4 linked regions of the Caenorhabditis elegans genome follow. The protein of the gene in region 3 purifies or fractionates together with the protein of the main gene of each other region. This does not show direct contact. Each region holds a gene or a part of one and is shown on either strand. Other genes may lie near its edges.

What was found.
Region 1: the proteins of aco-1 (region 3) and semo-1 fractionate together in Caenorhabditis elegans (co-fractionation; one large-scale study listed by BioGRID). This does not show direct contact.
Region 2: the proteins of aco-1 (region 3) and Y54E5A.5 fractionate together in Caenorhabditis elegans (co-fractionation; one large-scale study listed by BioGRID). This does not show direct contact.
Region 4: the proteins of aco-1 (region 3) and C07A9.13 fractionate together in Caenorhabditis elegans (co-fractionation; one large-scale study listed by BioGRID). This does not show direct contact.

The regions. Positions count from the first base shown.
Region 1 is NC_003282.8:14,047,718-14,058,417, reverse strand, and holds semo-1 (Methanethiol oxidase), read right to left. Parts: upstream 7,219-10,700; 5' UTR 7,197-7,218; coding exon 7,023-7,196; intron 6,924-7,022; exon of another isoform or gene 6,903-6,923; intron 6,625-6,902; exon of another isoform or gene 6,604-6,624; intron 6,583-6,603; coding exon 6,485-6,582; intron 6,470-6,484; exon of another isoform or gene 6,449-6,469; intron 6,423-6,448; exon of another isoform or gene 6,401-6,422; intron 6,144-6,400; exon of another isoform or gene 6,123-6,143; intron 6,051-6,122; exon of another isoform or gene 6,026-6,050; intron 5,958-6,025; coding exon 5,587-5,957; intron 5,510-5,586; exon of another isoform or gene 5,489-5,509; intron 5,435-5,488; coding exon 5,232-5,434; exon of another isoform or gene 4,767-5,231; intron 4,682-4,766; exon of another isoform or gene 4,657-4,681; intron 4,594-4,656; exon of another isoform or gene 4,573-4,593; intron 4,447-4,572; exon of another isoform or gene 4,426-4,446; intron 4,250-4,425; exon of another isoform or gene 4,228-4,249; intron 4,110-4,227; exon of another isoform or gene 4,089-4,109; intron 3,924-4,088; exon of another isoform or gene 3,903-3,923; intron 3,886-3,902; exon of another isoform or gene 3,865-3,885; intron 3,623-3,864; exon of another isoform or gene 3,602-3,622; and 20 more.
Region 2 is NC_003279.8:14,704,724-14,710,661, reverse strand, and holds Y54E5A.5 (Polysaccharide biosynthesis domain-containing protein), read left to right. Parts: upstream 1-2,786; 5' UTR 2,787-2,794; coding exon 2,795-3,154; intron 3,155-3,394; coding exon 3,395-3,496; 3' UTR 3,497-3,603; downstream 3,604-5,938. Other genes in the region: dus-2 (DRBM domain-containing protein), read left to right, coding at 1-22, 69-177, 239-465, 1,231-1,552, 1,969-2,060, 2,103-2,373; npp-4 (Nucleoporin p58/p45), read left to right, coding at 4,142-4,569, 4,613-4,704, 5,526-5,938.
Region 3 is NC_003284.9:11,337,138-11,345,736, reverse strand, and holds aco-1 (Cytoplasmic aconitate hydratase), read right to left. Parts: upstream 5,864-8,599; 5' UTR 5,862-5,863; coding exon 5,771-5,861; intron 5,592-5,770; coding exon 5,423-5,591; intron 5,373-5,422; coding exon 5,235-5,372; intron 5,188-5,234; coding exon 5,118-5,187; intron 4,946-5,117; coding exon 4,137-4,945; intron 4,089-4,136; coding exon 3,800-4,088; intron 3,753-3,799; coding exon 3,174-3,752; intron 3,094-3,173; coding exon 2,575-3,093; 3' UTR 2,410-2,574; downstream 1-2,409. Other genes in the region: Receptor-type guanylate cyclase gcy-9, read left to right, coding at 7,868-7,979, 8,033-8,162, 8,207-8,313, 8,363-8,544. UniProt on the Caenorhabditis elegans protein: Catalyzes the isomerization of citrate to isocitrate via cis-aconitate. Has probably no RNA-binding activity.
Region 4 is NC_003281.10:9,677,437-9,684,430, forward strand, and holds C07A9.13 (USP domain-containing protein), read right to left. Parts: upstream 3,871-6,994; 5' UTR 3,834-3,870; coding exon 3,465-3,833; intron 2,784-3,464; coding exon 2,262-2,783; 3' UTR 2,223-2,261; downstream 1-2,222. Other genes in the region: Putative UDP-glucuronosyltransferase ugt-60, read right to left, coding at 1-7, 71-336, 391-507, 561-660, 913-1,128, 1,175-1,316, 1,446-1,567; putative calcium-binding protein C07A9.5, read right to left, coding at 4,088-4,201, 4,251-4,361, 4,418-4,540, 4,596-5,098, 5,168-5,393.

The sequences.
Region 1 (10,700 bases), on a different chromosome or scaffold from region 3:
TTTAAAAATTCATTTAAAAACAAAAATAAAATTTCGGGGCATTTAGTTCGAGTGATCATCTATTTTGAGATTTCATTTTTGAGATATTCAGAAAAGTTGTAGGTCATTTGAATCAAATGTCTTTCATTTTAAAAATTCATTTAAAAACAAAAATAAAATTTCTGGGCATTTAGTTCGAGTGATCATCTTTTTTGAGTTTTCATTTTTGAGATATTCAGAAAAGTTGTAGGTCATTTGAATTTATTGTCTTTCATTTTATACATTCATTTTGAAACATGAATAATGTCTCTGGGCATTTAGTTCGAGTGATCATCTTTTTTGAGTTTTCATATTTGAGATATTCAGAAAAGTTGTAGGTCATTTGAATTTATTGTCTTTCATTTTAAAAATTCATTTAAAAACAAAAATAAAATTTCTGGGCATTTAGTTCGAGTGATCATCTTTTTTGAGATTTCATTTTTGAGATATTCAGAAAAGTTGTAGGTCATTTGAATTTATTGTCTTTCATTTTAAAAATTCATTTAAAAACAAAAATAAAATTTCTGGGCATTTAGTTCGAGTGATCATCTTTTTTGAGTTTTCATTTTTGAGATATTCAGAAAAGTTGTAGGTCATTTGAATTTATTGTCTTTCATTTTAAAAATTCATTTAAAAACAAAAATAAAATTTCTGGGCATTTAGTTCGAGTGATCATCTTTTTTGAGTTTTCATTTTTGAGATATTCAGAAAAGTTGTAGGTCATTTGAATTTATTGTCTTTCATTTTAAAAATTCATTTAAAAACAAAAATAAAATTTCTGGGCATTTAGTTCGAGTGATCATCTTTTTTGAGTTTTCATTTTTGAGATATTCAGAAAAGTTGTAGGTCATTTGAATTTATTGTCTTTCATTTTAAAAATTCATTTAAAAACAAAAATAAAATTTCTGGGCATTTAGTTCGAGTGATCATCTTTTTTGAGTTTTCATTTTTGAGATATTCAGAAAAGTTGTAGGTCATTTGAATTTATTGTCTTTCATTTTAAAAATTCATTTAAAAACAAAAATAAAATTTCTGGGCATTTAGTTCGAGTGATCATCTTTTTTGAGTTTTCATTTTTGAGATATTCAGAAAAGTTGTAGGTCATTTGAATTTATTGTCTTTCATTTTAAAAATTCATTTAAAAACAAAAATAAAATTTCTGGGCATTTAGTTCGAGTGATCATCTTTTTTGAGTTTTCATTTTTGAGATATTCAGAAAAGTTGTAGGTCATTTGAATCAAATGTCTTTCATTTTTAAAACTTATAAACACACAGTGAAACTGAAAATAATTTTGTTTTTGAAAAGGATTATTTGGAAAGGTGACAAAACTGTTTTGAAAACAATTAATTTTGGCTCAGACGGGTTTAGTTTGCAGGAACTTTGTTAGTTTTCCACTACTGTCTATTCATATAATGAACTGAACAAAAAATCAAAAATGAAAAAGACAATCGATAAAAGGAGCCAGTTTTTATTGAGGAGAATTCCGGATGTTCATATATTTTCTTCCTACTTTCTAATCCATAATTTTTTTGTGCAATTCTACTAAATTCCCGTGATTTCAACTCGCCACATTCTTTGTACCATATATGATGATTGCTTCGTTCACATTACAAAAATCCCCTTTTTTCAATATTTATTCGCCTGGTTTCCCCCGTTTTTCTAGTTGCATCATGAGTTGAAAAATCCTTTCAATTTTTTTTTGAAAATCTGAATGAATTGTGATGAATATGTACAAGCTAATTTTTTATGCAAAACATTTTAAAAAAAACCAAATTAAATCCAAATATCCGATGTACAATCTCCACCGGGATAACGCATCTCGTGAGCCAAATAGGGACCTCCTTCAATTTTTCCAAAATCGATCAAAAAGTCTCGATTTATTTCCATTTTTCCAGATTCTGGATCAATGTTGACTTGAACCATTGTGGCGCCAGATCTGAAAAATGACAGGGTTGCAAACGCGCTCCATTGAGAAAGTAGGACGAATTTGGTGTTTTTTTTTTGAAATTATCATGAATTATTAAGCGGACGAAAAGAAACATTACCAAGTCTCGACGTGACTATTTTTTCAACGGAAAACGTGTGTGCGCCTTTAAAGAGTAGTGTAATTTCAAACTTTCGGTGCTGCAGCTATTGAACTGTTTTATCGATTTCTCATAGTTGTTCTTTTTTTTAAAAATTATTTAGACTAGAAAAACAAAGAAAAACATGAATTCGTGATAAAATCAACTCAGCAAGTGAGAGAGAATCGCTGCAAATATGAAAGATTTTTGAAACGGTGATTTTTTTTCTAAACAATAATTTCACCATGAGCGTATTTTTAGTGTAAACTACAAAATTCGAGATAATTTGTTTCGTAAGGACAAAGGTTCAATGAATAAAATGAATAAAAAAGAATTACATTTCGCGAATAGCCCCACAAGTGAGCGGAAATAGTTTGCTCAAAATATACTACATTTATGAAACGGTAACTTTTTTCTCAGAAATAATTCTAAATTTTTTCATAAGTAGCACTCACTTGACATGTTCTGGATAGAATTGATCATCCCATTTCTTGTATAAAGAAGTTGTAACATAAAGTCTCTTTCCATCCAATGACAACTGTAACATCTGTGGACCTCCTTCAATTTTCCGTCCCTTCACATAAAGTGCTTCAATTGGTTTTTCACCTTCTAGAACTTTTACATTTGATTCCGTATGTACACTTCCTCCAATATAAACTTGAGAATTCAATTTCACCTTCAATGGATCAGAAATGTCATATTGACGAATATCTCCATGAAGCCAACACGAGACATACAGGAAACGATCATCCATTGAGATAAGGATATCAGTTATAAGAGCTGGCATTTCTGGAAGAGCCCATCCACTTACTTTTTTAGAAGGAATGAAGGCAACGAGAGTAGCTGCATGGGTTGTTGAGTTCTGGAATTATTTGAAAAATTGAATGTTTCTCATTCAACGTATCACTGAAGATTTGTTTTCAGTAGTATTCAACAAACATTTGGCAACTATTTTCATACTGACTATCAGAATTTTGAGATTTTACAAGAAAAAAAATACAAAGTGTGTTAAAAGAACACCTCGAGAACAGGAAAGAAGCAACTTTTCTGAAAAACTTTATTTTCAAAAAGAGGTTATCGCGAACTGTCGAAATAAGTGTAGGTATATGCGCTGCCAAAATTATATTAACTTTTTGAAACAGTAAATTTTATGTTTTTTTGTAATTTTGCCTGAAAAGTTGGTGGCCATTCACAAAAAATAAATTTTTTGATCGAGCTTTTTTGTTTCAAGGGCACACTGCTGAAGTGGATATAATTTTATTTAAAACGTAATTTTTGTTTTCAAAAGTTTACACGAAAATCTACTGTTTCAACAAACTCATTTAACATCTCGCTAGAAAATTGTTTTCAATTGAACTGTGGCGTGACTTATCGACTGTTCTAAAAGAGCTTTAAAAATCATGAGACATTTAATGTTTCGATTGGCTGATTAAATGTTTCAAGTTGAACAAGGTGTCAATTTTTTAAAATTATATGTTTCAGATGATCTAGAAAACCCGGTGAGATTTCTAATTGTCACTCGAACTTGATTTCCAGTGAGACTATACTTTGCACAGAAAGGAATTTTTGTTTCGCAGCAATGCAGCAGAAGCAGAGATAATTTTACTTAAATCTGAAATCGGTTTTTTTTTCAAAAATTTAATAAAAAAGTCTATAACTCATTAAACATCTTACTTGAAAATTATTTGATTGCATTGACATTGCTAGAAAAACTAACAAAATCATAAAATTTTTAATGTTTCAATTAGCTGATTAAACGTTTTGGTTTGAATAAAGTTTCACTGAGACTATAATGTCCGCGCTTTAAAATTATTTTTTAGTGTCGAAAAAAAAATATTTTTTCTTTCTTTAATTGACCGAGTTTTCTTGATTCACAGTCACGCAGAAAAAATCGATTTGAACTTTTTGTCAAAACTAAATGCATGCTGCTTTTTAAAAAAAGGTTCATCAAAAATCTACTGTTTCACTAACCTAATTTTAAAAAACTCGGAAAAATACGTTTTTAGTATTTGCATCATTGTTAAACGTTTAATGAATCTATAAACTGATTTAAAAATAAATTATTAAAAACACTCAAAGATATTTTTTAAAAATTATTATATGTTTCAAGTAGTCTATAAATACTGAAACTATTTTGAATTAATATTGGTTCTTCCAAATGAAAAAAAAGAAAAATAGCAGTTTGGTCTACACAACTTTCTCTGAATTTCAAATTCAAATTATGCCCTAATCATGTATGCCAAAGCATTAAAGGATTTGAAATGTACGAAAGCGCTCTGATTTTCTCAAAATGTCCACATTTTTCTCGAAAGTTAGTCATTTTGCCAAAGAACTTGCTCAGAAAACTTCGGGAATGAAAAAAAATCAATTGAATAGAACGGAAGTTTTGATAACAACGTATTGAAACAATTTATTTATTTTTAAACTTGAAAGTTTCTAATGCAATGTTTCGGTGATCCCAGAAAGTTACACATCAGCTTACAACACTGCTATTCAATTACTGACAACGAAAATATCAGTACTATTGATAAATTGTCAACTCCCCCTACGAAGATCATTTATATTTGATTTCATACGTTTTTTTGGATTAGCAAATGAAATAAACTTCCAATAAGATACAATATGATAACCTATTGAAACAGTTTTCTAAAAGTTTTCTAAAAATTCTTTTCAATATTACTCACCTCCTCAACAGGATGAATTCTAAAAACCGGATCTATTTCAATAGATGACAGGAATACCAACAGAACTAAACTAAAAACAACAGAGTGTGTTATGAGGACAAATTGAAACTGAAAAGTTTTTTGAATGTTTCAATGTTTTCGTAAAATCACGGCATTGATCTCCAAAACTGTTTAACCATTTTCAATTGACTGAAACTTTTGAAAAATCAAACACTCTACTGAAGAGTTTTCATGGAATAAAATTTGAGTACTCTGGAAGAAGCAACAGTTTTGGAAACTTTGCTACCTCCCAATCAAGGATGTGCGGCAGTTCTCAAAATTTTCCGAGCTCGGCAAATTAGTTTTACAATAATTTTAATCTTGATTCTATTCTACGGTTTTAACATATTAATCTCAGTTTCTAAACAAATAATAACTTATTGAAACATTTCAATTTTTCTGAAAATTCTATTGAATATTACTCACCTCCTCAACAGGATGAATTCTAAAAATTCCTGATCCAAGAGCACATCCCACAAAAGCGTGCTCACTGGTTGGCTCATGGAGGAATCGAACTTCAAGTGGAAGTGCTCCAAGTGGCTGTGGTAGATCAATTGTTTGAAGATATTTCTTAGAGTCCCATTCGAAAATATGAACACTGTTTCCGTAGAGACCCTCTCCGACGTGAGCTGGAAAATTTCATGTTTTAAAAAAATTTGTAACTTTTTGGTTTTTAGTGATGCTGATGGCTCATGCCGCAAGGAATAATTTTAATTTTTGGTAAAATGAAACAAGAGGTGTTGAAACAGTGATTTTTTAAAAGTATTTTCAGTTTTCCCACCTGGATTAAATCCCTTTTTAATATGATTCGGTGATCCCCATTCCGTAGAAATCATCACATTTCTCCTTGGCTGGTACCAGAAATCATAGTTAAACGGAACAGTCTTCTCGTCAGCTGGCCATGTTCCTTTCGGCTCAAATGTCTTTCCATCCAACAACAAAAAGTTACCAGATGGAGTTCCATTAGCTTCTCCCAAAGTACTAATCATAATATTTCCATCGGCAAGACAATGTGAAGTATGTGGAAATGAAAGGTTTAGAGAATGAAGTTTTGATGGTTCAATTGTATGTTCAAGATAGATTTTACGCTCATTTTCTACGTTGATAATGTAGATACGGTCAGAGTTCAGGCAAGGAACGATCAAATGGGATCTGAAATTATTTAGAAATTATTCTACTGTTTTGGTTTGTTAATGAAAGTTCTCCGATCTAAAAATTTATTGATCTTTCAGTTGACTGAAATGTGAAGTTTGTAAATTCGAATTAAAAAACTGTTTCAAGAAATTGGTTCAAGTCTAACTAAATTTATAAAAATGATCTTCTCGTGAATGTCGCTCTGATCTGATTTTATTACAAAGCTTTTGCATCCGTATCAAGGGTCGTGGAAAAATTTAGGTTTATCAGTTTTTTCTTGAGAAAATCTAAAAATCAGAAAAACAAACAAGGGAGAATCTATAGATTTATCAAATATATGATGATTTTGTTTGAAGAATAAAAAAAAACATGTTATTGTGACCACTTTTTAAAAAAAAAAAGTCGGAAAACCACACTTCAAAAATGAAAATTTAATTAAAAAAATTTTTAAACAAAACTTGATGTTTCGAACAGTTGATTTAATTTTGCCACCTGTACTAATAGAGTAATAGTATCATCCTAAAACAATAAATATTTTAACTAACCTCTTCTCAGTTGGTTTGTCATGACAAGAAGAGCACGCATTCCATCCAGTATGATGGACTTCATCACCAATATGTGGCACATCAACTCGGCTGATCACCTGAAAATATTAATTTTACTGGAAAATGTTATGATTGATCGATCTCTAAATGCTAAAACTACGAGTGGATATCAATATTTTGAAACCGATAATTTTTTCAATTAAATAATAATTTTTAATTTTTACTATACAATCATATATCGTGCAAATCGATTTAAAACTCTTAAGCTTGAGATAACCTTGAAATCAGAGAGATCAAATCAAAGTTTCCTGATTTATTTTTGGCTGATGCAACAGAGATGAAAATTGCAAAATTGCAATTTTATTCCGGTAATTTGAACAATTTTTCTGATATAGAAACAGTTATTTCAAGCTTTATGGACGTGATCTACAAAAGACAATCAAAAAATTAGTTATTCCTAAAACTCAATACGTCTTTTTGAAACAGTATTTTTTTCCTCCAAACAAGAAAAAAAATCAACTTTACAAATAAAATTTACCTGACAAAAAGTGTCACTCTCTGGATTCACATCAACTGTAAAAATGGCATCAGGACCATCAGCTGCATTTGGAGCAGTCACAAATAAAACTTCTTCTCGTGGTCCTTTTATAGCATCAGCTGGAGATGCATATCCTGGACCACCATGACATTTTAAACCACAGTTTGGGGACATTTTGGTTTTTGGGATTTTTGATCTGCAAATATTGACTTTTTTTTAAAATCAAACAATATAATCAAATCAGTAGTATGGATTAAAAAGTTACATACATACAATTTTTTGCTGAATTAAACTATAGCAAAATTAAATTTTTTTCAAGTTTGACACTATTTTTGTAGCTTTGAAAACAAGTTGCACGAAAACTTTTGGGCAAACATTTTTAGCTTCAGAAAAAATTACTTTTTTTGTCACAGCTCTAAAAAGGGGAATGTAAAAATTAAAAAAAAAATACAGCGAAAATTTGTAAGTTAAAAAACTAACGCGGATGTAGCAAAACCAAAAAAAACTGAAAAATGTGAAACTTATAAACACACAGTGAAACTGAAAATAATTTTGTTTTTGAAAAGGATTATTTGGAAAGGTGACAAAACTGTTTTGAAAACAATTAATTTTGGCTCAGACGGGTTTAGTTTGCAGGAACTTTGTCAGTTTTCCACTACTCTCTATTTATATAACGAACTGAACACAAAAATCAAAAATGAAAAAGACAATCGACAACAGAAGGGGATGACATTGATAAGGTATCACTAGCTGTTCTATGTCTTATCTCTAGCAGTCATCAAGATGATTGTTCAATGAACCAACTAGAAATCTACTAGAAACACGTAGGAAATTATTCTGATACAAACTACAAGTACCGTTTCTGGTTGAGATTAATTTTTGAATTTAGAGATGAATTTGTGAACATTGTGTGACTGATTCAAAGTGCACAGATATTTTGATAACATTTTTTTTTAATTTTGGAAAACCGATCTGACTACAAAACGTGAATTTATTTGAAATTGAAAATAGTGAGTTTTTTCGTTTTTAATTTATCTTCTGATACTAGGCTTAACAGAAAAATAATAAACAATTATTCAGGGTTGTGCGCGCGACAAATTCCAAAATTTGAAGGACAAAATTATTGATGAAGATGGGATCAACTGTAAATTATTGAAAATCTCCATGAGGATTCCTTGAAACAGTAAAAAAATGTATCGCGAATATAGCAAATTTTTAGAAAAACTCAGCTTGGGTTAATTAAATTTGCAAATTTCTTATTACGTTTTCCACTAATAAAAAGGTTTAAACAACAATTTTATTTATTTTTTATTTATTTTAGGTGCTGCAAACGGCAAACGGCAAATGTCACTCGCTAAAAAAAATTGGTCGACGATGAAAAAAAAACTTTCGGCGTCTTTCAGCATGCGAAATTTTTTTTATTTTTATTTTTTTTTTATTATTGGAAATATAAACAAATTTGAATATTAAGTTGTTCATATTTCCTCATGAGAACAGTCATTCAAATCCACCTTAAGCATAAAAATCTCCACAAATATATGGGGAAATTACAGTTAATATTGCTACATGTTAATACTGTTACAATACTAATAGAAAACTCATACCAATAGTAAAATGAGGCATGTTATCAATCTTTCATTTGAATTTTATTGGATTTTCACATTGCTTCTCATTGTATTATATAAAATTTATTGAAACGCCTAATGAAGTTTTAGTGAAATAGTTAAACATTTTTTTGCAAACTTTAAGCAAACGTAAGCCGTTAATAGCTTAACTGTTAACTGGTGCAATTTTGCTTAAATTTGCAGTTTTGAAGTTTTTCTACAATCGGTAAATTTATTCACATTTCAAGTTAGTCTCGATTTGAAATGCAAGTTGAGCGCTTTTAATATGTTTTTTTCACATAAAATTTAATATTGGGGTTTTTTTCAATTTTTCCGATTTTTTAAAAACAATCAATTTTCAAAATTTCTAAGTCAAAATTTCTAATCAAGACAAATTTGGTTACAATTTTTTAAAACATTTTTTGCAAAAATTTTGGCACGGTGAAGTACGGTGTTTCAAAAAAAAGTATACAAAACAGTGAAGCAAGCAAAAGTCTGTGAATTAGACAGAAATGAAAATTTAAAAATACATAAAACTGAAGCGCAACGGTGGGAAATTTGTAAACCGCCTAATAAAAATGTATTGAAACACTGCAACATACAGTGCGTCCAACTTCTATAGCACCCCCCTCTATTTTGAGTGTTTGAGGCTTTCTGGAAATTATTTTGAAAAAGTGTGAATGTAGTTCGATTACAAATGTTAAAAAACCGCCACACCTCGGTTTTTGTGAGAATATCTTAAAAACTACGGAAATTAGGTCAAAAAGTTGAAAAAACGGCCGTCCAACTTCTATAGCACCCCCTCGAATTTTTGACAATTATCGTTAAAATAGTCAATTTTTACTGGTTTTCTTTAACACTAATTTTTTTGTAAACCGTAGGAAATTTGTAAACCGCCTAATAAAAATGTATTGAAACACTGCAACATATATTCCCAAATGTAGAAATATTTTCAACAGACTTTTGCATTATCTTTATTATTTATTTAATTTTGTTAACCCTTGTATATAATAAAGGAACGTTTCCAAACAATTGGTAAATTTATTCAAATTTCAATAATTTCCGATTTTTATTATAATTTTAACAAATTAAAAAGGCTAACTAGGGACTCTTTTTTTGATGTCCAGAGAGTTATGAATTATATGTTTTCTGAAAGCTAATGAAATGAACATGTCAAATTCAAAATAAAACCTTGCCCAAATTGATGTTAAGACGTTTTTTTTACTCCGAATCCGTATTTAAGTCAAACGGTTGTTGTTTTTGAAGCTTCACATCTTGATGGACTTCGAAGATACAAAAAATAATCAACTAACAAAATGTTAAGAACAATATGAAAATTATTATAAACTATAATTGCATTCGATATGTTACATGCTCCTGTAGTTATAAGCATTTAAAATATTGGAAATTGGCTTAAACAAGTGTCATTGTATAAATTAAATTGCGACGTCTAATAAAGTTTTAGTGAAACAGTGAAATATTTTTCTGCAACTTTTGAGAAAACTTTAGTTATTATTAGCCTAACTGCTAATTAGCAACATCCTGTGAACTGTTGAATTAATACTGACACTGTTTCAGACAATTGGCAAATTTAATCAAATTTCAACTTAGTTTTAATTCTGTATTTCCAATCCCAGCTTTTGTCAGCATTTTCACAAATAAAAAGGTTTTATGTTTATTTGTTCATTTTTCTAATGTTAAAAAAATAATCTTTGAATTTTTCGATATGCGTTTTTGAACATTGTGCTACTCGGATGTGTACAATTCCAGAATGTGCAGATATTTTAACATTTCTTTAAATTGAAATTACTGAAAGTCGGTTAAGCTACAAAACGTGAACTCATAAGACCTGTATTGTAGTACCATCTCAAACTAAATTTGAAAAAGAGCTTGAAAATTACTATAAGTATGTAAAAAAAAAATCAAAAAGACTAGTTTGGCAAGTAAATTTTTTTTGTGAGATTAACGTCGTAAACCTGTATAACGGATAATAAAAACTTATGGAAACAGTGTAACATAGCTATGCTATGAGACAAGCTATGAGAAGTTTTGTATTGTGAGTATATTTTTGAAA
Region 2 (5,938 bases), on a different chromosome or scaffold from region 3:
CGGCGAAAATCGCCCAGATTGTGTGGGAAATTATACTTTATGTTTATAATTAACTAATAAAAATTCAGTGGTGATGATGTGGCTGGAATTGATGTCAACATGGGCTGCCCGAAGCCATTTTCGATTCATTGTGGAATGGGCGCGGCGCTTTTGACTCAAACCGAAAAAATTGTCGATGTAAGAGGAAATTTTGAAAAAAAAACACACTTTCTAAACTAAAAAAAATCCCATTTTTCAGATTCTAACATCGCTAAAATCCGCTGCAAAAGTCCCTGTAACCTGTAAAATTCGAGTACTCGATGACCCTGAAGACACTCTGAAACTGGTCCAGGAAATCGAAAAATGCAGAGTTTCAGCGTTAGGAGTACATGGAAGACGGCGTGATGAACGGCAACCGGATAAATGTAGAATTGATGAGATTCGTGACGTGGCACAGGCGGTTCAAAGTATTCCCGTTATTTCAAAGTAATTATTCGGGGTTTTAACCGGAAAATTCGAAAAAAATCCGGATTTCAGTTTGAAAATTTTTTTTAGAAGATTTTTGATTTTTAATCAAATAAAATCATTAAAAAATATTTAAAAAAAATAGATTTTCCAGTTCTAAAATAGCAGTTTGTCGATTTACGCAGAAATTGTGTACTCCACGAGGAGAAAAGATTTTTTAAAGTTGAAAAAAATTATCCACGCGGAGTACACGAGAGCTTTGTGCATTGCGTATTTTTAAAACTACCGTATCTCTTTAAAATTGAAGAGTTTTATAAATATTATTGGAACACAAAAATGCGTATCAAGCAACATATTTGACGCGCAAAGTATCTCATAGCGAAAACTGCAGTAGTCATCCAAAGGATTACTGTAGAAGATATTTTGCGCGTCAGATATGTTGCGCATTACGCATTCTCAGAGTTTTTGTGCTCCCGTAATTTTTTCAGTGAAAATTGAAAAATCGAAAATCGAAATTTTTTCGATTTTTCGATACTCTGTAAAATCGAAAAATAATTTCAAAAAATTAACCATAAAATATGACTTTTTTATATAATTTTGCTTATATTTGTAAGAAAAAAACATACAAATTTCTTCTAAAAAGAAGAATAATGGCAAAATATTAAGCTAATATTTGAAAAATCTAAATTTTTTGCGAAAAATAGGAAAATCGAAAAACCGACACCCTTGCCCGTAATAGAAAACATCGCAAAAATCAATTAAACAATTAATATATACATTTTTCAGCGGTCTCTCCGACGAAATCGAGCAATATTCAGATTTTGAGAAATATCAGCTGTTAACCGAGACAAGTAGTACAATGATTGCCAGAAAAGCCCTCTCAACTCCGTCAATTTTCCGTCGGGAAGGATGTTTAGATAAATACGAAGATATTCGAAATTTTCTGGAACTCGCGTGCCAATACGACGAGTCTTACACTATGACAAAATACGTTGTTCAACGGATTCTGGGCGCCGATCAGGAATATGATCCACGTGGAAAGGCGACGGTTGCCGCCGGAAGTGTACTGCAGATTTGTAAAGCGTTTGGAATGGAGGATGTATATGATGTACGGGATTATATCTGAAAATCCGGCAATTTTCGCACTGAAAATGTGTGGAAAACACATTGAAAATCACAAAAATTCACTTGAAAATCCAATTTTATTTGAAAAATTTGATGAAAATCACAAAAAGTTAAAAGAAAAACAATATTTTCATGTATTTTCAATGGAAAATCCAAAATCCAATTTTCGTGGCTTAAATTGACTTTTCCAGTCATTTTTTGCCCTAAAATTCAATTTTCACCCAGAAAATATGCCGGAAATCGAACAAAAATTGATTTTCAAAGAATTATTCAGCTTTTCAGTTGAAAAAAAAACGTAAAACAGCAATTTTAGCGTCGAAAATTGGATTTTTCCCACTGTTCTGCAACTTTTTGCTCGAAAATTACACAAAAAATTACGGAAAAATTGGAAATTTTCAGAAATGGCGAGATGAACGAAAGAAGAAACAGAGTAAGAAGCGAGCTCGTGTTGACGATGACGGTGTTTATAATATTGAAGTCTCATTTCCATTGTAAGAATTCCTCCTAAACAAAAAACCATTAATTTTCTGCAGAAAACGCCTGAAAAACTCGGTCGGCTTCTCGCCAACGCCCAAAATGGTGCTTCACGACTATTGTGTGGAGACGAAGATCCCAAAAGCCACGTATGAGGTCGTAAAACGAGATGATAAGCGATTCGTGGCGACGGCGTGTATTGGTGACAAGAAATATCGATCAGGAATTGGACAACCGAATTTAAGAATGGCTGAGCAGGTCGCCGCGCTCGCAGCCTTACATGGAATGAATATTCGGAATCTTTTGGTTGGAAATTGGGAAGAAGAATGATGTTAAATTTGTTTTTTGCTATTTTTTTGTTAAATTATATTGAAAAATTGTTTGTTTTTGCTATAATTTGCATTTAAAATCGGTTTTATTCCATTAATTATCGAATCCCCACTGCGCGCGCGGGGATGGCAAAACGCCGTGCGGCAGTTGCAAATGGGCGGAGTTTGGAGAATTTAAAAAATATTCGAATTTATTTCGCAATTTTTAGAGATTTTCAGGCTTTTTTCAGAGTTTTCATGCGTAATTTTCACTTTAAAATGTTATTTAAGTGTGTAGGATTATAGAAATGTAATTTAATTCCGCAAATTTTGTTGAAAAACTTGGATTTTTGCAATTTTTGCAGATTTTTACATGATTTTCTTCTAATTCTCCTGTTTCAAGTCAATTTTCTCTCTAATTTTCCAAATTTTCAGGTAACAAAATGACTGACTACGGAGATGCTGATAAATACGTCAACGACGAATCGATCGAGATGGCTTGGGCGATCAAAGCCGGCGAACGGTCCGAAGTTCACATGAATCTGATAATGCGGTGTGACACTCGGGTTCTTCGGCTCAACAAGCATCAGGATGCGATTCTCGCCGCATTTCGAAGCTCATTCCCCGATTTGAATGTGGAGGAGGTGACGACGAGTTTGCTGAAAGACGGCGGAGCCAAGGAGACATGGCGCGAGTTTTGTGAGCAATTCAAGGATATCGTCGACGATTATTCAATGGGAACACTGATGAGAATTCATGCTTCGAAGGCTTACAGTCCGGAAAATACTGTGGTTGTTCCAAGAGTTAGTGGGACCCAAATTGGAAATTTTTGTGATTTTCAGCATGATTTGTAGCTAGAAATTGCAGTTTTTGCGTTTTTAGCCCAGTTTTTAGCTAGAAAACTCAGATTTTGTGATTTTCGGCATGATTTGTTGCTGGAAATTGCAGTTTTTAGCTTAAATTTTTGGGAAAACTTCAATTTCCAGCCAAAAACCCCTCATCCCTCATTTTCCCATACAAAATCGATCGATAATTAATTACAGATCATCTACCTGGCAATCGAGATGGCACGCAACGTGGAGGGTGTCAACGAGAAGAATAAGGAGGCATACACGGCTCACCGCAATTCGCTCGCCTCCTTGTAATAATTTCTCTCGTTTTTTTTTTTGAATTTTTGTTGATTTTTCCCCGTTTTCTCGTTTTCCACCCTGTCGTTTGTCTTGTAGTTTGCATATAAACCGATTTCTTCGTTTTTAAAAATGATTTATTTCCAATTTCTCGAGTTTTCCAGCTCTTTTTACTTATATTTTTGTTTATTTTTTTTCCAAAAATTGATTTTCAGATATTTTTCTCTAAGAAATGTCGATTTTGATGAATTTTTCTGTGCTAAAATTGACTTTTCAAAATTTTCTCATAGACACGTGGGATAAATGCCCTAAAACTCAATTTTAGCCTGAATAATTCGTGATTTTTGATAATTTTTCATCGGAAATCGAATGTTGGATGCTAAAAACGTTTCTTTGGCAATTTTCGAATCCCCACCGTTTTTTCTCCATTAAAATCTGGATAAGCATCTCAAAATTCATGAAAAATCACTTTTTCTGTTAAAAAGTGTTTTCTGTGATTTCTGAGCGAAATTGTCAAAAAAAAAAAGTGATTTTCGCTTCGAAAATTCGAATTCCCGAAGGAAAAACCATCAAAAACCTCTGTTTTTGAATAGAAAATGTCTAAAAATCAATAATTTCCCAATTTCTTTTCTTTCTTCTCCATAAAAATTTAATTTTCCAGAAATGTCGCTTTTCGGTACAAGTACCACGGCTCCAGCTGCTTCAACAACACCTCTTTTTGGCTCAACGGCTGCTGCTGCTCCAAAGCCTGGAGGCCTCTTCGGTGCGCCTGCTGCTGCCATGTCATCAGGGCTCTTTGGAGCATCTCAGACAGCTCCTGCACCAGCTTCTGCAGGACTTTTCGGCTCAACAACTGCTCCTACACCTGCTTCAACGTCTTCAGTTCCACTATTCGGTTCGACAACAACCACCGCATCACCATCTGGAGGACTTTTCGGAGCCAAGACAGCCACCACAGCAGCTCCCGCGCCGACTGGTGGGCTCTTTGGAGCATCAACGGCTGCTCCGGCGACTGGAAGTCTGTTCGGAAGTACTGCCCCGGCTACTGGAGGTCTTTTTGGCGCGAAATCGACCACATCGGCGGCTCCGACGTTGGTTTTAGAGCTTTCGATGCATCTAAAATTGAATTTTCAGGCTTGGAGGTGGACTTTTTGGATCGAGCACGGCTCCGGCGGCGGCGGCAACGACATCATTTGGAGCTCCACCAGCGACTGCAGCTGCTCCATGTTAGTATAGATGCTGGAGCTTCTTTTTTCTCTGTTTTCAGCACAAAAATTCCATTTTTTGCGAATTTTCAGCTCTAAAATGCTTTTTTAAATAGAAAATTGCCACTTTCAACTCCTTATTTGGAAATCCTATTTTTCGCCGAATTTCGACAAAATTTTAGTTATCAAAACTAGCGTTTTTAATCTGAAAATCGGACATTTTCAGCTCAAAAGTGTGTTTTTAATCGAATATAGTACGATTTTTATGTTCAACAACGCTAATTTTATAGAAAATTGGAAAATTTTCTAACAATACATCAAAAATCCTTATTTTCCTCCTATTTTTCAGCCAAAAATGCGTGAAAAATAAGCAATATCCATTTAAAAGCTTTATTTTGTCGATTTTTCTTCAAAAATTGGCGTTTTCCGGCAATTTGGCTATTTGCCGGTTTACCGATTTGCCGGAAAAAAATAAAATTCTAAAATTTCCAACATTAATGTGCAAAACCGCAATTTGCAGGAAGTTTTCGGCAATTGCCGCTTTTCCGGAAGATTCGGCAATTTGTCGGTTTGCCCATTTGCCAGAAATTTTCAATTTCGGCAATTTGTCGGTTTGCCGGAAATTTTCAATTCCGGCAAATTCGGCAATTTGCCGGAATTTTTCAATTTCGTCAAATTTGCCGGCTTGCCGATTTGCCGGAATTTTTCAATACCGGCAACTTGTCAATTTGTCGGTTTTCCCATTTTCCAGAAATTTTCAATTCCGGCAATTTGCCAATTTGCCGGAAAAAATCGTTTGCCGCCTTGAGATTGCGCAGCCTGAAAATCATTTTGTTTTTCAGTGGGTCTCGGCGGAATCCAGCAACAAAACAGCAGTGGTGGTGGGCTTCCAAATGCTTCAGGAACTGCCACGTCATCACTCACAGGCACCGGAGACTCAAAAGATGCCTCGAAAGACGGTGAATGGACACAAGCGGCCACTCTAATCAGAGATTTACTCCCATTGATCGAGGATAAATTCAAGAAAAATCGAGAATTTATGGAAGAAACCGAGAATATGTCAATTGACAACGTGGCAATCGAAGAACAAATCGATAAGACACGTGGATGGATTGAGGAAGTTCGACGGGATGTTCTGACGGCTACACAATCATCAGAAAGGATTGCATATCTTGTATCAACTGATAAAACACTTTGTGATACGACGAAACGAGTTCAAGAGCATTCTGGATCTGCAAATCAGACTACTTATATG
Region 3 (8,599 bases):
TTAAATTGTTGGCGGAAAAGAACGCATTTGCTAAACAAATTTGATAAAGAAAGTTCATAGCACTGAACAAAGCCTGAACATAAATGAACATGTGAAACGAAATGTTTTCCGACAATGGAAAATTGCTATTAAGAGTGGGAGAGTATGAAGTTTGAGTATACCTTAGTGAGAACGAGGAAGAGAAAAGATGATAAGAACACAGAAATCGGGTAAAAAACTCCAATTGTGTGAACAGAACGAAATGTATCACTTGAGTGTCGTTATAGGCCTTAATAATCCTAAAACACACACGTTTAATTTATTCATGAAAAAATTGGACTAGTTTCAATAATGATGGCATTCTATTTTTGAATAAAAAAGGAAAATTTGTGACATTTTAGGTGCTATTTAGGAACGTATTACATCAAAGACCAATTGTGAATTTTAACAAAAAATGATGAAAACACGGAAAGTTGAACAACAACAAGACCGCTAGAAAAAGTACTAAAGTGTGTGCACCACGCGTGTGCCCCGGGCTGGCTACTTTCTCTTTTTCTCCCTTCTTCGCCACTCATTTGTCCAGTCTCTCGTCCAGCGGAATATTTTCCAATCTTTGAATGATGACCAGTGCATGAAACGCAAGAAGAAACCCGGAGGAGGAGGCGAAAAATGCTGAACAACGTGAAGGTGATGACAGCCTCCACAAAATATATACGCAAAATCAAACCGCGTGCGTGTTCTTCGTCATTTCAATTTTCTAACAACTGTCGATTCCGAATGTCTGGGTACATCACACACTAACAAATTAAACTTTTCTGTGTGTTTTTTTTTTCGCCCGAGGTTTTTTCTTTTTATATCAAATGATCAAGTTGGCAATCAAAAGCTAACCAATGTTTGAAATTGAATGAACTCAATGAAATTTTATACTGAATAAAGCTGCTTTTGAGATATCCATAAAATGCATACTTTCAACATATGAAGTGATTTTTAGGTTTATGACTTTCGGTTTTTAGTGACTTTTTTTCCGGAAAAATATTGTTAAACAAAAAAAAATATCTGAAATAAAAGCTATGACAAAAAAATAAGTTGTTGGGTTTTTTTTTTCAATTAATTTTTGAAAATTACAAATAAGGATGTTGAAAATATATATATATATATATAAATTTGACTTTCTTAAAACAAATACTGAATAACGATAATTTTTTTTTATTAAGGTTTAGTTTTTTCAAGTTAATATTCAAGATATTTAAATATAATTATTTTACAAATAATTCGAAATATGCATCGAAAAAACAAGATAATGGAGTAGGGAATGAAAAAAAGAATGCAGCAGAACTTCATTCATTAATTAATTTAAAGTGACAGTTGCAGTTAGCGGTCATCAAGAAAATGAGAGTTATGACTTACTAAGTCCGGAAAAGAAAACGAAAAAGCGACACTTGATGAGTGAAGTTGAAAAAGTAATGAGTCCGCAAAAACGAAATATTGTGTGAAAGAAAAGAGGCTTAACCGATTGTTGCATTCGTTTTCAAAATGGAGCGAAAACAAAAAACATGAAGAATTGTTTTTGCTTCAAACACCTCTTGATTTTTCTTTGTCAAGTATCGCAAAACACACAAAAATGGCGTGAATAACCTTGATACATGGATTGTAAATTTTTTACATGCGTGTTCCTTTGGTGGAACATGAGAAATTTTATCACAAGAATAATATAACATTTTGTAGAGGGAAAGCTTCAGAAATTAATTCCAAATCAAAAAGTGTCGACTAATAATGGAAAGGTGTTGCATTTACTCACAAAAGATTATACTTCCTCCCGACTCTTCTATTTGTTTGATGAACGGCTAAGCGGTCAATTATTACAGTCTTCATTCATTTCTCTGGCAAAGAACGTAAAGTTATGCAAAATTTACTTATTTTGAAATAAAAATATCTTTTGCGCTGGCAAGGGTCTCATATTACTTTAGTGATGTTAGCTATAGGGCAACTGAGATTTTATTGGGTGAGTGTGCACTTTTAAATGGGACTGAATAGTACGAATGAACTGCTGAAATGTTAGTCTATAAAAAGTCAGTTCAGTACAAATAAATACCGTAATCTCTCTGTTCATTTTGTTCAAACAACTAGAATGTTTGAGCTTTTACACCCAATTTTGTTGTTCTCAATGAAGATGTTTTCTTATTTATTTATACTCTTATGACTGAGAGAACAAAAAATACAATTAGTGATGACGACCTTTAAGAAAAAGTTGCAAAATGTTATATCCTAAACACTGTCAAACTGGAAGCACATTTCTTTCTCCTATAAATAGTAGAAATACGTTATTTGTTGAGTTTTAGTAAAATATTACGAATTTAAGTGGTTTTAGCAAAACAGAGACGCCAAAACTAAAATAAATTTGACCATCCACATGTTTTATAGCCCAATTATAAAAAGTATTGATTTATTTCGTTGCTCCAAATCACAAATTTATTGGACTTCAAACATGTTCATAAAATATCACAGAAAATAGAGAAGGATTGATGCATCGAAAAGTAAATAGTTATCTAAAAATAGAAAAAATTGACTTTCAAAAATTTAAGCTAAAATAACAGTTTATTGGATCAACTTTCTGATCATGTATTGGAGGATTCCTCCGTTGCGGTAATAGGTGAGTTCGACTTCAGTGTCAAATCTACAGATGACTTGGAAAACTGAACCATTGGATACATTCACATCAATGAGCTGTCCTGGCTTCAAATCGTCTGGAACTCCAATTGAGAATTGTTCTTTTCCAGTAAGTCCGAGACTATCAGCGTTTTGACCAGCTTGATATTGGAATGGAATAATGCCCATTCCAATCAGGTTGGAACGATGAATTCTTTCGAAGCTTTCAGCGATAACAGCCTTGACTCCTTGGAGGAATGGCCCCTTTGCAGCCCAATCGCGAGATGAGCCACATCCATATTCTTTTCCAGCAAGAATGATGGCTGGAATTCCGGCATCCTTGTACTTTTGAGCAGCGTCAAAGATGTCGAGCTCTTCTCCAGATGGCACATGGAGTGTAATAGGACCAACCTTCGACGCAAGCTTATTAACAAGACGAATGTTGGCGAATGTTCCACGAGCCATGATCTGAAATTTAAAAAAAAACGTGATGTGTTGTTAAATTCAAAGTTTTTAGAAAATCATATATTGAATGAATAAACTCTTACCTCATCGTTACCACGGCGAGCTCCATAAGTGTTGAAATCTCTTGGCGTTACTCCACGTCCAGCAAGGAATCTGGCGGCGGGAGAGGTCTTCGAGATTGATCCAGCTGGAGAAATATGATCAGTGGTTACCGAGTCACCGAGATTCAACAAAACGTGTGCGTTTACAATATCGGATTGTGATGGAAGCTCGCTAGTCATTCCATCAAAGAATGGAACCTTCTTGATGTAAGTAGAGGCATCGTCCCATGGGTAAAGCTTGACAGCCGGGCACTCCAATTGTTGCCACTCCGTGGATCCAAGCTCAATGTTAGCGTACACCTCGCGGAAGAATTGTGGCTTCACGAATTCCTCCTCAAACTTGGCAACTTCTTTTCTGGTTGGCCAAATGTCGGCTAGTCGGATTTCCTTTCCGTCAGGAGTAACAGCAAGAACTCCGTTAATGTCAACATTGACGTTTCCGATGATCGAGTAAAGAACAGCCAAAGGTGGAGATGCCAAATAGTTAGCACGAACATGTGGGTGAATTCTTCCTTCAAAGTTTCTATTTCCAGAGAGAACTCCGGCAACGACAAGGTTATTCTGAATAAACAATTATTTTGAAAAGAAAACAGTAGTTTCAACAATACCTCTTCGATGGCCTTTGTTACTGGCTCATCAAGTGGCCCAGAGTTTCCGATGCATGTCATGCAACCATATCCAGCAATATTAAATCCAATCTTCTCAAGGTATGGAAGAAGACCAGATGCTTCCAGGTATTTTGTGACGACTCCTGATCCTGGAGAGAGGGATGTTTTCACATATGGTTGGACATTCAATCCCAACTCAACAGCCTTCTTGGCAACCAATCCAGCTGCGAGCATGACACTTGGGTTACTGGTGTTTGTGCAGGATGTGATGGCAGCAATAACTACGGATCTGGAAGAAACATTATTTTTTGCATGTACTTCTAATTTATAGTCTTACCCGTGAGTAAGCTCTGCGGTTCTTCCGTGGTTGGTAATTGTGACAGATTTAGTGGCATCTTCTGGTTTAAGGCCAAAAGCTTTGAAGGAGATCTTATCAGTGAGCCCTTTGGAGAAATCTTGAGCCAGAGAAGCAAGCTCAACTCTGTCATGTGGACGCTTAGGTCCGGAGACACTTGGCACTACACTTCCAAGGTCCAATTTCAAAGTGGTAGTGTATGTTGGGCGGTAGGAGTCATCGGTGAAATTGACGAACATGCCAACAGACTTGAGGTATTGTTCCACGCGTTGAGTATAATCGGTATCACGTCCGGTTTGAGTGAGGTAGTCAATGGTACGGCTATCGACTGGGAAGAATCCAATTGTTGCTCCATATTCGGGGCACATGTTAGCAATTGTTGCACGATCGGCGATGGAGAGCGATGCAACTCCAGTTCCAAAGAACTCAACAAACTTTCCAACAACTCCGAGATCACGAAGGTTCTTTGTGATTGTAAGAACCAAGTCGGTACTGGTAACGGTATCACTGAGAGTTCCAACCAATTCGTATCCAATAACTTCTGGAATAACCATGGAAATTGGCTGTCCGAGCATCACAGCTTCAGCTTCAATTCCTCCAACACCCCATCCAAGAACACCACTTCCATCAATCATTGTGGTGTGGGAGTCGGTTCCAACGACGGAGTCAGGGTAGAGAACGCCATCCTTTCCAACAAACACTGTTCTGGCAAGATATTCAAGATTAACCTGATGGACGATTCCAGATCCTGGCGGTACAATAAGAAGATTGTCGAAAGCTTTGGATCCCCACTGAAAATAATTTGATAATACAATTTCATTTAAGCTATCTGAATATTTGTGTGTTCATTGAACAAAGTAGTGATAAGGGCAATCAAATGCATAGCGTGATTTTCCGAAAAGTGATGGGGAGAGTAAAACGTGACAGTGAAACTCTGAAAGTGGCATTTTCACCTTTCCTTACCTTCAAAAAGTTGAAGCGTTCTCTGTTTCGCTCAAACTCAATGGACTGATTCTTGGCAAGGGCTTCAAGGCTGAAAAAAATACAATAAATGTATAAACCAGGTTGCGCAGAACGTACTTTCCGTAGTGATCGACTTGCACGGAGTGATCGATGACAAGGTCAACTGGGCATACTGGGTTGATCTTGGCCGGGTCAGCACCCATATTTTGAACGGCGTCACGCATAGCGGCAAGATCTACGACGGCTGGAACTCCACTGAAAATTGCTTGATGTACATAAATTTGGTAATTTATTTTCAAGCTCACGTAAAATCTTGGAGAATAACGCGTGCTGGTTTGAAAGGAATCTCAGCTTGGTTACGCTGGCTGTTTTTCCAATCAAGAATGGTTTCCACGTCCTTCTTCAATACATGGAACTCATCGCAATGACGAACTGCGGCTTCCAACAAGTACTTGATGGAGATTGGAAGCTCGTCTGAAAATTTTGGGAAGGTTTTTAAAGAAAATGATTTATATATGACTTTAACATAATGAATTTATTCTTGCTCGTCGAAATTCGCTGTTTTTTTTTTCGTTTACAAAAGTTCCAAAATTGAATATATGCAGATATATTTTAGATAGATTGAGAATAGGATGTAAAATAGTTATACTTACTGTAACGAGCATCATTGAGACCATTCAAGTCAAAGTATTTGTAGACGTTATCTCCGATAGCCAAGTTGCGGATAAGGTTGTTGAAAGCCATATCTGGAAAGTTAGATATGGAAAAAATTTAAAAAAAAAAGGATTTCGATAGAAAAGAACGACAAAAGTGCATTGTAATGAAAAAGAGAATGCGAGGAAAACTAATGGAGGCGTGCCGAATCGGTGTAGTCGACCTGTCCGTTTTTGTGTGTGTCTGAGCGCGCTTAGTGTGTGTGGCTGTATTGAATGTGAGAGCGTTTTGTGTATGTTGTGTATGTGTGTGTGTGTGCCAAGGTCGGTCGAAGATAGTCATCTTTCATATCAGCTAGGACGAAATTGCGTCGTTGTCCAGTGTTTCTAGAAGGCTAATGTCGAGAAAAAAGGCGGCGAGAAAAAACGATACCATCTCAGAACTCAAGAAACAGTCAAAAAAGGTAAATGTGCACAGTGAAATAGTGTGCGGTGGGAAGAGAAGAAGAGGGCCGATCTGCATACACGTTGCGTACTTGACCCAAGAGGTTACGACAATGTTGCAGTGTGGTTTTTTTGAGAATTGAAACAATGCGCTCTCAGACATATTGAGAGATAAAAAGAAAATTCAGAGATTTGTGTCCGATATTTTTTATCTTTTGTTATCATTGATATCAGATCATTTAAAAAAGATTATCAAGTGGGAGAACTTTGCACAGATTGATGGTGAGGTGGAAATTCCTTTGGGAAACTGAAGAGCAAAAATTCGTTTTATTTTTCAAAAAAAAAAACATTTGAAAAAATGCAATCGAATCCATGCTATAACTAAACTAATACACTAGAATCTAGAATCACTAGAATCTGTAGTTCACAAAATTCATAGAGTACGGAATTTCTGTTAGCGTGACTAAAATTTACTAAGTTAAAAAAACAGAAGATGTTTGAGCACAAGCTGGTTGGTTTTTTGATTGATATTTTTGTTTCATATGTCTCTGTTCTTCATGATAATTTACTATATATAATATAAAGCGCTTATTCTGTGTGTCCATAGTTTGTAGTCTATGTAGTCTTTGTAGTCTGTGAAGTTTTGACTTCTGGAGGGATAGTGAGTTGGGGTTAGTGTAGGGATATAGTCGGGGTACTGTAGTGGTACAATAGTGGTACGGTAGGAATACTGTAGGGTTACGGTAGTTTCATAAAAATTGATTTTCAGCCCTAGAAGTCGGGGGCCGCGCCGAAGGTGCGGACCACGGCTGGTTCATAATATTACAATTACCGTTTTTCATAGTTTACCGCGTATCATTGTATAACCATGTTTTATTCAGAAAGACTTTGCATATATATTTTTATTTGATCCCAAGTTGAGATTCATAGAAACGTATTTTATTAAAATTGGTCTCACAATCATTCCCCGTATTACCTCTAGTAGCCTTTTAAGTTGTAAAAAGCAAGACAAGTGCTAACATGTGTAAACGTTTTGAACAAGTCTAGGTTTATTTTTTCAGGAATTGAAGAATTATCTGAAAATTCTACAAGGTACGCCTTGTCTTGTCCCGAATTATTGAAATACTGATTGAAGTTCTAATATTAGGATGACTCTTAGAAATGCAAGAAAATTACACACTGTATAACTAATAGGGAGTACACTTGGTAAATGAATAACACTGTTAAAAATTCTGAAAACTACCAAAAAAAAAACTCGGCTTGTTTTTTTAAAAGTATTTTCGTGTGTTTCGATGATGTTGCATTAGACAGTGTCATAGTTCTACGCTGAGATCCTATTAATGTATTCACAACAACCTAGTCATCAGTGTACATCAGAAAAACGTAGGATTCGACGCTTGTTGTGACACACACTTGCCTTCTTTCCATTAAACCCCATCTATCCACTTCCGATGGGCCCTTCCGGCATGATAAGAAGTGAGTGGCTACATAAGACTTCACACCTCCTTCGGAGATTCATCAATCCAACTACTCCGAATTTTTTACATTTTACTTCTACATATATTGGAATTCGTTCCATCAACACATTCCTGTAAAAAATATATAAGAATTGTTACTGTTTGCGGGATAAATGCCCCTCATATGAGATGATAAATGCGTTTATATTTATTTTTCATTTCTTCTTTGCTACTTGCGGAGTCAAGAAGATCTATCAGTAAAATCAGTCATGACGAAATCAATCAACATGTGAAAACTACACTTAGTTGTGAGCAATCTTTTTCATAAAATACATATAAAACAATTATTGTTTTGTTTCAGCAGAAGGGATTGTTCGAATAGGTCACCTTCACCCCACGAACCCTATTATAGCACACGAACCAGATGTTCTAAAAATGTGCGCAGACGATTTGAAAATGAGAAATATTCTTCCACAAAATTATACTTTAACGTAAGAAGTTTGAATTTAAAAAAAACAAGTCTTTCCAATTTTAGTGTTTTTACAATGGAAAGTTGCAACAAGTATTCGGGAGTTGAACATGCTGCTTTCCTTCATTATTTGAAAAATGCTTCAGTGTATTTTGGACCCGGTTGTAATAATGGTAATGCTTTTGAGAATGTTCAAGTTATTTAGTAATTCTTTTTTCTCAGAAATGTTGGTTATTGGAAGACTCGCGCCTAGGTGGAACGTTCCAATAATTGCTCATATGTCTGGAGATGACGCTCTTTCTGATCGTGTCCAATTTCCCACACTCGGTTCAGTTGCACTGACATCTGCAAGTGAAATGGCAAAGGCGACTGTAACATATTTAAATCTGAACAATTGGGACCAGGTAGGACGTTTGACAATAAACAATTACTTGTTTGCTCCAATATTCCATATTTTCA
Region 4 (6,994 bases), on a different chromosome or scaffold from region 3:
AAGAGTTCTGAATTTATTGTATTAAACAATAGGAGTTTTAGCCATTTGGAAGCAAAAGCAAATAACTTACAATCATTTGAGCTGGCATATTTGTAGTATTTGATACAGTTCCCAATGAAAATACAATAAGTCCATCCGATGGTTTCTCAATTATATCTTCTAACCATTTTTCCATAACCAGCTTCTTTCCTTTACTAACTCCCAGTTCTCCAGAAAAAGCGATATGAATTGGAAGTGGTCGTGGAAAATCAAGCATTCTATCCCCATTAATTAATAATGATGGTACTGTGGTTTTTGCTAAATCCCATAAATCATCTTGGTCAGCACCGACGAACTCTGAAATTTTTGATTTTCGAATTGTTTGATCCCTCAGTACACAGCCATACAAACCTCGATAGAACAAATTCTCGTCAACGAGAAGATTTTGAGGAAGATTCACAAAATCAAGAAGTGACAGATGCCAAAGAGTATTTTGTACACGATCCAGAAATAATTGAGAGAAACCAGCTGAAAATGAAAAGTTTTGCTTACTAAAAAATTGAGCTAGACGCGTCAAATACCTGAAGAAAGTGGATGCGGAATCGTTGATGGAATCGTTCGAAGTCCAAGCTGTACAGCCGAGAATTCGTAAATTGATGTTCCATGTGTTATCCAGATTACCTTAATTATTTATTTTTTGTTTTAAAAATAAAACTCTGAACTATGAATCTTGTAAAAAGTAAAGTTCATCTCATAAATATTTGTGTTTTATTTGAAAGATATCGGCAATTTCAGTTTTCATCCGGATTTTCATGCAGTTTTCTAATCATGATTAGATATTATTAATTAAAAATTATTAAAAGTCGATAAAAATCATCAAGTCCTAAATTTAAGATACTCTTCTAGATCCTAATCTTTTCCTCTTCCACTTACTCTTTTTACATTCATTTTCTTCGCAATTGCAAGTGGACACAAATCATGGAAATGTGCAATGGCGACATCAAAACCGTCTTTCCTAAAATCTTCATACACACTTTCATCGTGTCGAAGCATTTGTTCACATGCTTCTACTCTCATATCTTTGAATTCTTGACCAGTCCACCATAAATCATGAGCATCTCCTGATTCGAACATCATTGATTGGAAGACCTGCAAAAACTTCTTAAATAGATATTTGGAATGTTTAATTGATTACTTTCAATCCTTCAGTTTTCAAAGTATCCGTGAAATGAATTGGTATTCTGTATTCAGAAACACCTTCCGGAAGTTTGTTATTTCCCGTGTCAAGCATCGCCATTTCCATTTGAGTCCACATTTTGACATCATGACCGAGAAATCTTAAATAAAAACTGCGGATTTTTTTTTGAGGTTATTTCTAAAACACAATTTAGCATTTAGCATTTTTTTTTCATTTTTATTAACTTTTTTTTGGTTTTTTCATAAAATAAAACCCTCGTTAAATATACCTGAGGGTTTCTGCAAGTCGGTAATTGAATAAAACATGAGAATTAGTGAAACCGGGTACAATTTGCAATATTCGAAGGGAATCGACAACTGACAGAAAAATACAAAAAATAGGTAGATACATGATCTTTCGACAATCTGAATTGTAACATTGAGAGAACGATTGGTAAAAGAGATAAGTAAGATGCAAAGGATTTGCAGGAGGTGTCTGATATGGAGAAATGATAATAAAAAGGGTCGAATGATCAGTGGTATCATTTGTTACAAGGACATCGTTTATTGATTAAATTCTTAAATCAGAACCCGTTTTTGAGAATAAGTTTTGTGATTTTCTTGCAATTAGCGGTACCTCGTATTTTACTCATTAGGAGTTAACTCAAACGATCAGATCAGAATAACAGAGTCCCAAAAAAGGCTTATGATTATTATATGTATAAAACCCAAAGTTAGTGATTTTTTCACCTCAACTGTCCCCTTCTGGAAATCCATTTTCCATAATACTCCCCATTTTCTCTTTCCCCGTCAATTTGTTACATGATTTATTCCTCATTTGAATATTTTTCCGGTTTTAATTATGTTTATGATCTCTAATTCCCTTTTTGTTCTCTTTTTTCTTTCTCATTCCGCTTGCCGGTCTCACTATTATTTTGTTCCTCTCTTTCTTTGTCGGACTCGTGGGGGCCTTGACCTTTTCTTGTTTGGATTATATTTTATTAAAAGAATAAAATCACTTGGGGCCATCCTCAAGGCAAGAAAACGTTGTCCGGCTAAAAAAAACAGTATTGAAAAAAATTTATTTAATTTAAAAAACAAAGTTCTTATTTGCGCTCGAACAGGAACAGAGCGCCTGCATAGATTGAGTCCATGTCGAATGACGTGCTCCAAAACTCCTTCTTGTGATGATCCGAAACCCGGCTCCAACCTCCGCCATTATGTATCCAAACGATTCCGTGTAAGCCTTCGGGTACTATCTTAACGTCCAGAAAGCCGACCAGCCGACAATGTTCTCCAAAGATGATGAATTCCTGGTTGTCCTTCATCCTCATTTGTTTGTAACGTCCCTCAGCAGAGTCAACATGGATCCATATGAAGTTCGAGTTGAACTTGTCGGCTATGATCTTCTTCTCGATCATAGCCGATTTTCCCAAGTGGTCCTTACATTCCCATGGCTTCTGGAGCACCATGTCGGTGAACGACTTTCCTTTTGGCAATTTCACACAGAAAAGTGGCCAATTCGACGGCTTCGGCTTTGTGCAGCCTTGAACACTGCAAACAACGTGGCTCTTGTACCGCATGGGATGGGGAACCTTGGCGTCGTTCTTACACTCTACAGCCAAGTCCTGAAATTTATATTGAACTGATTTTTTTTCAAAATTAACAAATTTAGATTAATATATCTTCGAAAAATTTAGTTCCTCTATTTAAATAGAAATTAAGGAAACTTCTCTAAATTATTCGCATTTTCATTCGCTTTTTTTAAAATTCGCCTTTTAATGTTATTTTTTATTCCAATTCTCGTTCTCGGTTTTTTTCTCAAAAAAACACCAAAAATTTGAAAAACGGCGGCCATATTCGACGAGGAAATACCATTTTTTTGATGTGACTGATTCGACCGGGTTACTGTATTCATGTGATATTTGCGCATCGAATATGGCGATAAAATAAGCACGCATGGTTTTGGGTAGTTACAAAATAAGTTACCGTATTTCCTCTATTAGTCTTGCATGCCTAGTTTTCAAGACTAATTTTCAATTGGTCCGTTAGGGTGCAAGACTAATAGAGACTGCAAGAATATTAGAGGTTGTAAGACTATTTTTCGAATGCCCAACAACCTAGGGAAAGCGACCATTTTCCAATATTTTATCTATTATTTGAACCATTTCATGTTTAATTTACTCAGAAATGGCAAATTTTCTGACGTTTCCGGAAAGTTTTGCAGGTCTAAAAAGTGGGATGGAAGACTATTAGAGACTGCAATATTTACTAATAGAGGAAATACGGTATTAATATCTGATACTCACTTTTAGCAAAATTACAAATGCAAATGACGGCGAATTGACTCCCTTGTGCAGCTCGCTACTGCTCAGCATTCCTCTCAGATGACCGACAACGTCTTTTTCACCAGAGAGCAGTTTCCTCAGCTCTTCATGCATCTCACCAACGCAACATGTACGGAGATGATCTTCAAACGAAGCACGCTTCAGAAGCTGCAATACAACGTTCATGAAGCAATCATCTCCGCCGTTACGAAGGGTAAGGCACGAAGACTTCACCCTATGAGGACGAACGAGCTGAAGACCTGAGGTGGCTGCATAATCTGGAGAAGGAACATCGTCAGCGTCTGGAGCAGAAACGCCGGCAGCAACTGGAGCAGCACCTCCGAATGGCATTGTAGTAGAACAATAAGAATAATAATGATTTCTAAAAAATGGAAATAAAATGCTTTCACGTTTTTCACGCCCTTTTTCATGTGATTTTGATGATGAAGTTTTATGATAAGATTAATCAAGTATGGAAGCGTTCGGAGTACACGTTTTCAGAAGATACATTGAAACAATGTTGTAAAAACAAACAATACATACTTTATTACAAAAAATATTGATAATTGACCATTAAAATATATTTTATTTGATCATATAATAATTTAATAAAAACTGTTAACGAAATCCTTATATTCCAGGCAAACTTGGTCTGAGCTGGTCTCGGCCTTCTTTGCAATCTTGCTCATGAAGAATTCAGCTTCTTTTCGAGACATACTCTGAAAATCATAATGTATTTTAACTATATATATGAAAATATGGAATTACATCCGAAATCTTCCTTGCATCCAGGTTCTTCAAAGCATCTTCAATGGCTGAATGATCGTCAAGAATGTTTGTTGTCTCATGCTTCACCATATAACGCATGTAGTCATGCTTCTGAACATGACCAGTTTTGAAAAATAGGTGAAATTGTTTTAAATTAAAATTATAACTTCATACGTAGATGGATCCAAGAGGGACATCGTCTCTTTGAGAGTACTTTCAACTGAAAAGTTATATCCTTGAGATTTGAGGCACAACTCGAAGTGCTCATAGTCTAGCCATCCATTCTTTTCCTAGAATAGTGACGTGGATAAAATATAATTTTAAATAATTAGCAAAAATACTTACTTGATCGAAATAATCAAAGGCTAATTTAAACTCGTGAAGCTGTTTCTCAGTGACTCCGTTGTGATTTCTATCTGCAATTGATTGCTCCACAGATCGCAACATTGAACTCATCAGCTCAAGACATTGACACATTTCGACAAGAACTCCATGTGGTGTGGCAGAAGAAAATGTGTTATCGAAGATGTAACGAGATTCCATAAGACTTCTCCACTTTTCCAGATCTTGAATCATTCCACTTTTCTGTACCTTAGCAATCAGATTCATAAGGCTCTTCTTCTGATCTTCTAGTCTCAAACTATGAAGCATCTCCAGCTCCTTCTTCACATCCACGATGACATTATCGCACGTTTTGAGGGTACAAGCGGCTTGTTCGCAGATTTTTTCATTATCGGAGTGTCGACTGATCTCTCCATCAACAATTCTAATACGGTCGGAAATTGTTTGATCAAGTCGCTCCATTCGGCTTGCCAAAGTTTTGAAGGAATGCGTAAAACGTTCTCCGGCTAAAAAAACACAGTATTGAAAAAAAATCATTTAATTAAAAAAGTTATCAACAGCGCTCGAACACGAACAGACAGTTGGTCGCGAATGAGTCCAGGTCGAATGATTTGTCGAAAAACGTCCGGTTGATGGCGACTCCGTTTCCAAAAAGCCGACAAGCCGACACTTTTCTCCATAAATGATGTGCTCCTGATTGGCTTTGATATTCATTTGTTTAGGATATTTATCGGCAGCATCAACAAAGATCCATATGAAATTCGAGTTGAACTTGTCGGCTATGATCTTCTTCTCGATCATAGCCGATTTTCCCAAGTGATCCGTACATTGCCATGGCTTGTTTGTTTGTTTATTCGAAGTTAGATAAATAGTAACAAAATGTAGTACATAGAAGATCAACGGGGAAAATCGAATAACACATAAAATAAGAAAGACCCGTCAGAGTCCATCTTAAGTATGAAAAAAGTAAATACTATTTGACAGAAGAGGATAAATCAACGAGAAATTTAAAAGTATGAGATTTGTTGGTTTATGAGGTTCATAAACTGGGAGGGGGAAAGGAATGTTGATACATTGTGAACTATACTGTTCCAAAGGGGAACGACAATAGAAAAGAAACCTTTGGACTTTGGATTGACTAGAGAAAGGAGCATCGGCCGACGTTGAGATCTGACATGCAAAATGAATCTTTTTGCACCTGGGAAATGTACAGCGCTTGTTATAATTTTATACAAGAGAATAAGCTGTGATTTTAAGCGTGTTGAGCGGGCTGTGGCCATGTTGAGAATGCTTAGGCGGTTTTTATATGAAAGTGAATAAACTAATGAGGTGTTTCTATGTGATGTTTCCGATACTTTGTATTGTATATTGTTACGTTGTAGTATTATTCTTGAGTAGTATTTGAGAGCGGATTCTAATGTACCTGACAGTTTTGAATGAGGGGGAGGGGAGTAAATGTGGGACCCATAGTCAAGAATTGGTGAGACATACGTTTTAAACAGGTTCACATAGAATTTAATGGAGCCAGAGGGGAAGGATTTTAGGATCTGTTTTGCCCTAAGAAATGCCAGGGAAGAGGTTCTATTGATATGCGATTTGAATGACAATTTATCGTCGGTGATAAGCCCGAGGTCTCTAACAGAGGAACTGGGGACGATGGGTAGGGAGTCAATATTGAAATTATGCCTAGGGTTTTGAGTTTCTATGTGGAGTAGGGCCGTTTTGGTGGGAGCAAGCGGCAACTGATTTTTCATAGACCAATCTACAATGAGATCAATTGTGCTTTGAAGTTCAATTGGATCGTGACTGAATGTTTTCACATCGTCCGCAAAACAAGAAAATTGAATAGAAGGGGGTATGGATAGGAGTAGGTCGTTCAAAAACAATATAAAGAGAAGGGGACCTGTAACTGTTCCTTGGGGCACCCCAGAAGGAATGGGGAGGAGAGCATTAGCGGAAACTGCTCGGCAAAACGTCGCAACTTCATAGCAAACTCCTGCAACTTAATAAAAACATTTATATAACTTTGTAAAAAGCTGTTAAGAAGTTGCGAAAACCAACGGGATTGTGAGCGAAATTTAGCTCTAAGAAATTGCAAAAATCGTCTGAAAAGCTGCAGAAGTTTGCTTAAAAGCTAAAATGCCTAATTGTTGTTAAGAAGTTGCAAGAGTATGCTATGAAGTTAAGCCGTTTTGCCGAGTGTGGAATTGATTTTGACTGAGAAAGTGCGATTGCTTAGAAAACAGGATATCCAATTGCAAAAGACGGGGTTGATGCCAAGAGATTTGATTTTAGAAATAAGTATGTCATGAGAGACTTTATCAAAAGCTTTGCAGAAATCGAAAAATATAATATCAAGACGTTTGTGTTCATGGAGTATAGAATGATAAAGAGAGGAAGAT